Danio rerio: one gene and its partner. The protein of the gene in region 2 interacts with the protein of the main gene of each other region in a pairwise test. Links are inferred from orthologs where the notes say so. Each region holds a gene or a part of one and is shown on either strand. Other genes may lie near its edges.

Evidence for each region. The genes of interacting proteins can lie anywhere in the genome.
Region 1: the proteins of git1 (region 2) and ppfia4 interact in a two-hybrid assay, tested with the Homo sapiens proteins (2 studies listed by BioGRID). The link is inferred for Danio rerio from reciprocal best matches to the Homo sapiens genes GIT1 and PPFIA4.

The regions. Positions count from the first base shown.
Region 1 is NC_133186.1:24,673,939-24,677,595, forward strand, and holds part of ppfia4 (liprin-alpha-4), read left to right. Parts: intron 1-349; coding exon 350-412; exon of another isoform or gene 413-540; intron 541-1,513; coding exon 1,514-1,540; intron 1,541-2,467; coding exon 2,468-2,643; intron 2,644-3,657. UniProt on the Homo sapiens protein: May regulate the disassembly of focal adhesions. May localize receptor-like tyrosine phosphatases type 2A at specific sites on the plasma membrane, possibly regulating their interaction with the extracellular environment and their association with substrates.
Region 2 is NC_133190.1:30,984,563-30,988,878, reverse strand, and holds the start of git1 (ARF GTPase-activating protein GIT1), read left to right. Parts: upstream 1-1,376; 5' UTR 1,377-1,828; coding exon 1,829-1,880; intron 1,881-4,316. UniProt on the Homo sapiens protein: GTPase-activating protein for ADP ribosylation factor family members, including ARF1.

The sequences.
Region 1 (3,657 bases), on a different chromosome or scaffold from region 2:
CCCCTTATTTGTATATATTCTATGTATTATTTCTTTTGATGTATTTATTTAATATAATTTTATATACTTAATATTTGCTTTAGATTTTTTTGTTTGTTTAATATTTATTTTAATCATCATTGAATTTTTAAAGACTATATAATTTTACTTATAGTCTTTTATTTTTCATTCAAACACTGCTCTTTCTTTAAAAGTGATTAAAATACACCTGTTACATAAATAGAAAACAGTAACACAGTTCCTGATGCTTTTAGTAACCAAGCTGCCAACAGTCATACAGTGTATGTTTATGAGGACCTTGCCGTTTGTGATCATTTATGTATGTGTGTGTATCTTTTTCTCCGTGCAGTCTTCCGGAAATGTGTGGGTGACTCACGAGGAGATGGAAAACATGGCAACCTCTACCAAAATGGTTAGTCCATCTGGGTGACTCCCTCGTGCCTGCGGTGCCATGCATATGCCACGCTTCCGCAGCCCTCACAACCCCCAGCCTGCTGCCCCGATCCACCCCAACCCCTCTGCCCTGCAAACCACCAACGAGTGCGCTTCGTAAAGCCTCTGCATGCTTCTGTGTCACTGCTGTCCTGTCGCTTTGCATAACCATTAAGTACTGTTTTTAAAGTCTCCCTGAAATCATAGTTTACATTTCTAACGTTGTTGACATAAATAAATAAATAAATAAATAAATGAATAAATAAATAAATAAATAAATAAATAAATAAACAAAAAGTCTTCAGGTTATCTGTAAGCTAGCATGCTCCAAAATAGTGACAAGATTCCCATTTGGAAGACATAAGCATATTATAGCAGCCTATGGGATGCTCAGTGGGTTCAGGTTTAGTACATCCAAGATGGTAGTTAAGTAATGCATTTAGTGTGTATGCTTTAGTAAAAAGATTGGTCATTTAATCTTGTTTTGAATTGAGAAAGTGTGTCTGAGCCTCGGTCATTATCAGGAAGGCTATTCCAGGAGTTTAGGAGTCGTATATGAGAATGCTTAATCTTTTTTAGTGGACTTTGCTGTTCTGTGCACTACAAAAAGCCTTGAGTTTTGAGATCTTAATAAAGTGGGTTGAATAATATATGCGAGTCACCTTAGACAGCAAAATGTTTCAATTATATCATAAATGCTTCCATTTAAAGCTGGAAAACTTGCTATTTTTATAGACACTGCTATTGCAAAGTTTGCTGTAATGAGTTTGATGTTTTTAGCTCACTGACTCTTGCTGACAGAGGTGTGATATAAACAAAATTATATTAGCTATTAAAAAAAGAGAAGGGGCTATACTATACCTAATGTTTCAATTTTAAATTATTTCACACATTGAACAAGCATTTCAGGGGAACTTTAACTAGATTTGCAGTACGTGTTACCTATTAACGATGAGCTCAGATGTTGTTGTCTGGTGTTCAATTGATCTCCTCTGCTTTTGCTGCACTCATTGAGTTCTTTAACTGTAGAAGAGCATTGCTAACACTCTCTGTCTCATTGCCCAAACATGCTGACTCAAAGGACAATGAGGAGGGAAGCTGGGCTCAGGTGAGAGGAATGACCAACTCAGAGCCTGCCACTGACCTCTTACACCTGGTTTAACTTTAGTTCAGCCTAAATGTTCATATTGAGAGTTGTCCATTAACTTCCATATGAATTTAAAATTCCTTTTTGTCATACTGAAATGTATTGTAAGAAGTTCTATACTATTTGTATTATATGTGTAAGTGACACAAAGACTTTGTTGAAATTTGTAATTATGATGACATGAAATTTTATATTATTATTAATATGCTATTTCACGTGTCAAAAATACATGCATACATAAATACGTACAAACATATATACATTTTATTTAGTAAATTTCTGTCACAATTTTATCTACATTTTTGTTTTTTTATGAATAATATGTATTACTAATTAATAATAATAGTATTATATTACTAAAATTTTAATAAATAGTTTTAGCATCTTTATAATCAAACTATTTTTAAATATTGTATGATTAAAATATTGCTATATATTTACTACAAGTTTACTTAATTCATATTTTATAGAAATTTTAAATAAAATTGACTAATAATAAATGGTTTAAATATGTGCATAAATAATCTATATAATATATATTAAATAAATAGTATAAAAATTAAAAATATATAATATTTATATAAACTTTTTGTCAATTTAAATAAATACATAAATACAAAACAATTCAAACATTGTATATATTTTTGTAATTATTTACAAGTATTATTTAAAAATATAAATTTTTATATTATTATAACTCTTTATAATTTATATATTTATATTTATATAATTTCTATGTAGTACATAAACTTTTTCTGTAAAGGTATATTTTATACACATTTTATATTATCTATTATAAAACTTATTTATTGACTATTTAATATTTTAAAGCTGTGTATGATGCAGATGTCAGATGCACAGTGAACTGTTGTCTCTCTTGTATCTCAGACACTGGCGTATGGAGACATGAACCATGAGTGGATTGGGAATGAGTGGCTGCCGAGTCTCGGTCTTCCTCAGTATCGCAGCTACTTCATGGAGTGTTTAGTGGATGCTCGAATGCTGGACCACCTCACCAAGAAAGACCTGCGCACACACCTAAAGATGGTGGACAGCTTCCATCGGTAAACTCATTTTACAGGGGACATGTTTGTTTACTCACTGTAGCAGCTGGAGATTTCTAATGTGTGACCAGAAAAAAAATTACAAATGTTCTGTTATTGTACCGAACAGAAGAGTTTCCATAGACTCCAGATATATGAACTACTCAGGACTACTGAGAAGTTTAATTTTAGAAGGAAATGTGCCAAATTTGTCTGTAAAATGTTATATATATGGCAAAATATGATTTACTCTGAACTGCTTCACTAATGAAGGTCAGTTTAACTTTCCGAAGGAGGCACCGAAGGAGGCACCAATACTAGGGACTCATTCTGGAGAAGCATCTTTTTACCAGCGTTCCTATGACAGGACATTTCTGCTTTTCCAGTTAGCATGTGTTATGAACTGTGTATGAGCACATATCCACAGAATTGAATATGGAACTAATTTTAAAATATTTTTCGGTATTCATCCCCAGTCAAAATTAGCACTGTGTTCTAACTTCATATTCGAAACAAGCACAGTATGTCACTTAATAATTTGAGAACTTTTCCAAATGCCTTCTCTGAATGTGCTCGTTAGCATTCTGTATGGCTTTTGTGGCTAAAATTACCATTGACTGTATTCACTGATGACAGTTTTATCCTGAAACTTATCTTTTCTCTAAAAACTAGAGAATTGTGCTAAAAAGTTATTAATATAATGTTTATTAGTTATTACTGGCATTTTTGTTATGTGGAATTCAATTGTTTTATTGTTACCAGAGTGCCAGATTGGAGTGTAAAGGCTCTGTTCTCTTCTTAAAAGCAGCAGCTCATTTGCATTTAAAGGCACACATACAACAACAATGCTAATTTGCGCTCACACAAGTAGGGTCAAACTTGACCTGCAATAATAAATGATCTTAAGCTGAAATTCACAAATACATTCTGGGGTGCAGCAGAGATTTATTTACATCTTATTAAAAGTGTCAATACTGTATGTTCTTTAAAAAAAAAAACACACACACTTTAAACATGACCTACAATACTACATTC
Region 2 (4,316 bases):
GTATGTGCGTGAATGAGTGTGTATGGGTGTTTCCCAGTGTTGGGTTGCAGCTTGAAGGGCATTCGCTGCGTAAAAAAATATTTTGGATAACTTGACAGTTCATTCTGCTATGGTAACCCATGATTAATAAAGGGACTAAGCCGAAAAGAAAATGCATGAATGAATGAAGTTTATGAATAATTTAACTTATGTGCATTTGTCTGGAGGAGTTTTATTAAATTCTTAGTATTAAAACCTGTTAGTCTTTTGTGCTACTATACTGTTCCTTTCTTCATTAGAGGGGTTTAAAATAATGTATGCCAATAACCTCAAACATGGTGGCACAGTGGCTTGGTGTTAAACACTGTCACAACACAGCAAGAAGCAAGGTTTGAGCCCCAGCTGGCTGGGTAAGTTGGTGTTTCTGTGTGGAGATTGCATGTTCTCCCCATGTTCGCATAGGTTTCCTCCGGGTGCTCTGGTTTCCTCCTTGGACCAAAGGCATGCGCTATAGGTGAATTCAATAAACTAAATTGGCCGTAGTGTTTGTGTGTGAATGAGTGTGAGTTTCCCAGTAACACCCATACACTCTTATTCACACACATACACTACAGACAATTTAGTTTATTCAATTTATCTATACGTGTCTTTGGACTTCTATACATATAATATAATAACCAAACCCCAAAAGTATATGCACTTTTCTTTTTCTATCTTATAGTTTGAAGATTTGTATTGGAATGAGCTAATGTAAATTGGGCCAAGAAAACAACACATTGTGCTGCAGTGGGTAGCGCTGTTGCCTTGCAGCAAAAAGGTCGCTGGTTCGAGCCTCGGCTGCATGGGTCATTTGGCATTCCCCGTGTTTACGTGGGTTTCTTCTGGGTGCTCTGGTTTCCCCCACAGTCAAGACATGCGCTATAGGTGAATTGGGTAAGCAAAATTGTCAGTGAGTGAATGTGAGAGTGTATGGGTGATTCCCAGTGATGGGTTGCAGCTGGAAGGGCATCCACTGCGTAAAACATATGCTGGATAAGTTGGTGGTTCATTCCAATGTGGCGACCCCAGATTAATAAAGGGATCTGAAAATAAAATGAATGAAGGAATAAATAGAATCGAATGTGGAGGACTAGTATAAATAAAATATATTAATGAGATGATATTCCTTCTAGAAACACGTTATTTTAAAGTAAAAATTCAGAAGAAACAAACTTTTTTTCTTTTTACTGAGTTAAATTTTTTTAAAGCCTATTAGGAGATAGTAGGCATGTAATTAAAGTTATGTAAAATTCATCTCCATACTGGTGGGCACGACTGCAGGGTCCCTCTGCTGGGTCGGCCCCCGCCTGTGCACTGACGACAGTGGGGCAAAAGAGAGAAAGCGAGAGGCAGACGTCAGAGAGAGGGATATGCAGCCCGCCATACAGAAGTGTATGGGGCAGTGGATGTAAATAAACCGTGTACAGTATCCATACTTTACTTATTCCCACCCCCTTTTGCCTAAGAGACGGGCTTGGATAATGATCGGGGTAAAAAGATTATGGGGGCCACTCAAAATTAAACTGATTACGTCCGAAATCTGATAACGTAAGGGGCCTTCTGAAAATCTCATTCATCTTTGGGAATCGCAAAGTCCTCGTAGCGGCACGACAGAAGACACCGCAGGAAAAAGGAAGGAGAGAAAGAGAGAGAGAAGGGTGAGGACCGGGAGCACTGGAGAGCTCGTCGCCGGCTTCCGGACATTTCGGGGCGGCATTAAAATCGCAGACGTCGCTCCTGGAGGGAAGGAAAACCAGATATCTTCAGCACTGGACTAAAATTTCTGGAAGCAGCAGCTTTTGATTCAGCGATGTCCAGGAAAGTCCAGAGAAGCGAGGTGTGCGCCGACTGCAGTGCACCAGGTAAGGCTGAGATTTATGGATCAATGCGTTGTTGTGAGCCATGGCTGTCCGGGACTCGCCTGACCGCGGCGGATTGCGGAGGAGTACCAAGCCCGCGTATGCGAAGGGATACTGGGTTAAGCGCGCCAGGAAAAATGCCTAAAATTAAGGCCGATTCTGCGGCCCAACAAATCAGATTTTAAACGCACTCTTAACTTATATGTATCTTTGTAATGCGGTTGAACAGTGGTTGTTCAAGAAGTACAATCTTTTAGTGTATTCACAAAACTTGCATGACTTTAAATTTGGACTGCTTATTCCTGCTTTGCTGCCGTGGCTAAAGTTTTACCCCTTCTCGTTGTTAGCACCCATCCCAAGTTAAGTTGACAAGCCTGCGAGGTGCTGTCAATTAAAATGACCATATTTACTCCACACTTAGATTTGTTTATATGCAGATATTGTAGCGACAGCTTACTATATATTTAAATTGTGTTTTAGTAAATACTCCGCACTGAAAGCTCTATATATCGAACAATGCTAACTGTCAGTAGGCTAGGCTTGGTTGCTAAGTAGCCTGCGGACTCTCATTTGAGTCTCTTCCCAGTTTTAAGTAAAACACGTTTGTGTATTTAGAATCAGTTTTTATGACTGCAAGAGGTCCTACTTAAACATATTCGGTACATTTTTTGCGAATTTAGTTAGTATGAACATGGGTTGAGAATAGATAGATAGCTAACTAGCGCTAGCAGGTTGACAGGACACATCTAACGTTAACTCTGACGTGGGTCAGTGTTCGCTTCTGTTTGCTCTTGTCCACTGAATTGCTTCTAGATAACGGTTGTGTTTGTTATTCTTTATAATAAAATTAATAGTGGTTTAAAATATTATTAGACAAACTGTTTTTGTAGTTACCGCATGGTAACGTTAACCTTAAATTAACGATATGCTACATTAACCGTAGTTTAACTTTGGTTTGACAAATTGTAGTCAATGCACTAAAACATGTGTAATAGACTTTTATTATAGAAAAACTATGAATAATTTGATAGTATGTTGAGTTAACTGATAGTATTGCATTTAAATGCTGGAAAAAATGCTTAAATCTGGTCTTTATTTTACTGGTCTTAGTTGGTCTCCCAGTATGGCCAAGCTGTTGTGTAGCTGGTCTCCAAGCTGGTCTCTCAGCATGACCAGCTTAAAAAGTCCCTAAAAACCCACCTAAAACTAGCCAACAGACCAGTTTGACCACTTGGACACCACCTAAAAGCTTTAAACCAGCTTAAACTGTTTTTAGCACAACTGCCATTTAAAACGTATCGCTACATATTTCCATATTTCTGTAATAATTATGAGCAGTGGGTGAAATCTATCAGCGGTAATATACAAATTTAAGATGTTTTTAGATTTTTTTCTTTTCAAAGTTACTAAATGGGTTTGTCCTAAATAGAGCATAGGTTTAAATTATTTATAGCCATTTCTAGTTCCATCATGCATGCCTTAAGACACAATTTCCTGAAACCAGGGTCAACTTCCCTCTTTTTCCCTATAGCATTTTTATTTTAAATAAATAGGAACTATGTCGTTCTCAGCCATTTGTCCTCAAATGCATTGCTCAATAAATTACCAACAAGCTTAAACCAACCAAATAAAGACACAAGACCGCCTTCAGTTGTTTACAAAACATGTTTTAAATGCTGCTCAGCTGTGCCGTCACTTCAAGCCCACCCTTGGCCTTGCTCATTTAGTCTCACCGTCCCCATGGGGGGACCGAGGGGTGGTACGGGGGGCATGACAGCTGCTCTCTCATCCACAGCTGCTCTCTGCTCTCCACAAATGTACAAGTGTGTCTTGTTTTTGACAGTTTAGTTCTGTTTCACCTCTTTGGCTACCTGCAGTCTTGCTGTGAGCTCGACCAAAAGCTGTCACCGATGCCTGTGGGTTCAGTTATCAACAAAAATCCCCACCGATAGTAGTCATACAGTGCAAGAGCCAACATATTTATGGCAAGAGCGGTTTCTAGAAACAAAAATCACTGACAACATGTGCATGCATGTTTTTTTTTTATTACACTATGTTAAACCTAGCAGCAAATTGATTTGAGATTAGTTTAAGCTGTTAATGTTTACAAATGTCATTGATAATAACAATAATTAAAGCACAATCGATTTTTACGTTTTGAAGTATGTCATCTCAATGCATGTCTTCATCTGAATTTATCTGTTAGTGTGTGTGTAATTAAGTTCAATACTATTTTACATGGTGTTCTGTTGATTTATAGTTTGTTATTCAGTATTAATTTGAAGGTTTATCGTTTAATTAATAATTTATCAGTAAGTATGGTCTATCTAGCTATCGGTTTTAACAAAATCCAACATCGATTGACCTCTACTACTGCAGTGCACTAGAGCTTGTCATTTTCGTGTTTAACATGTTGTTGGAATGTAGATAATGGTAAGT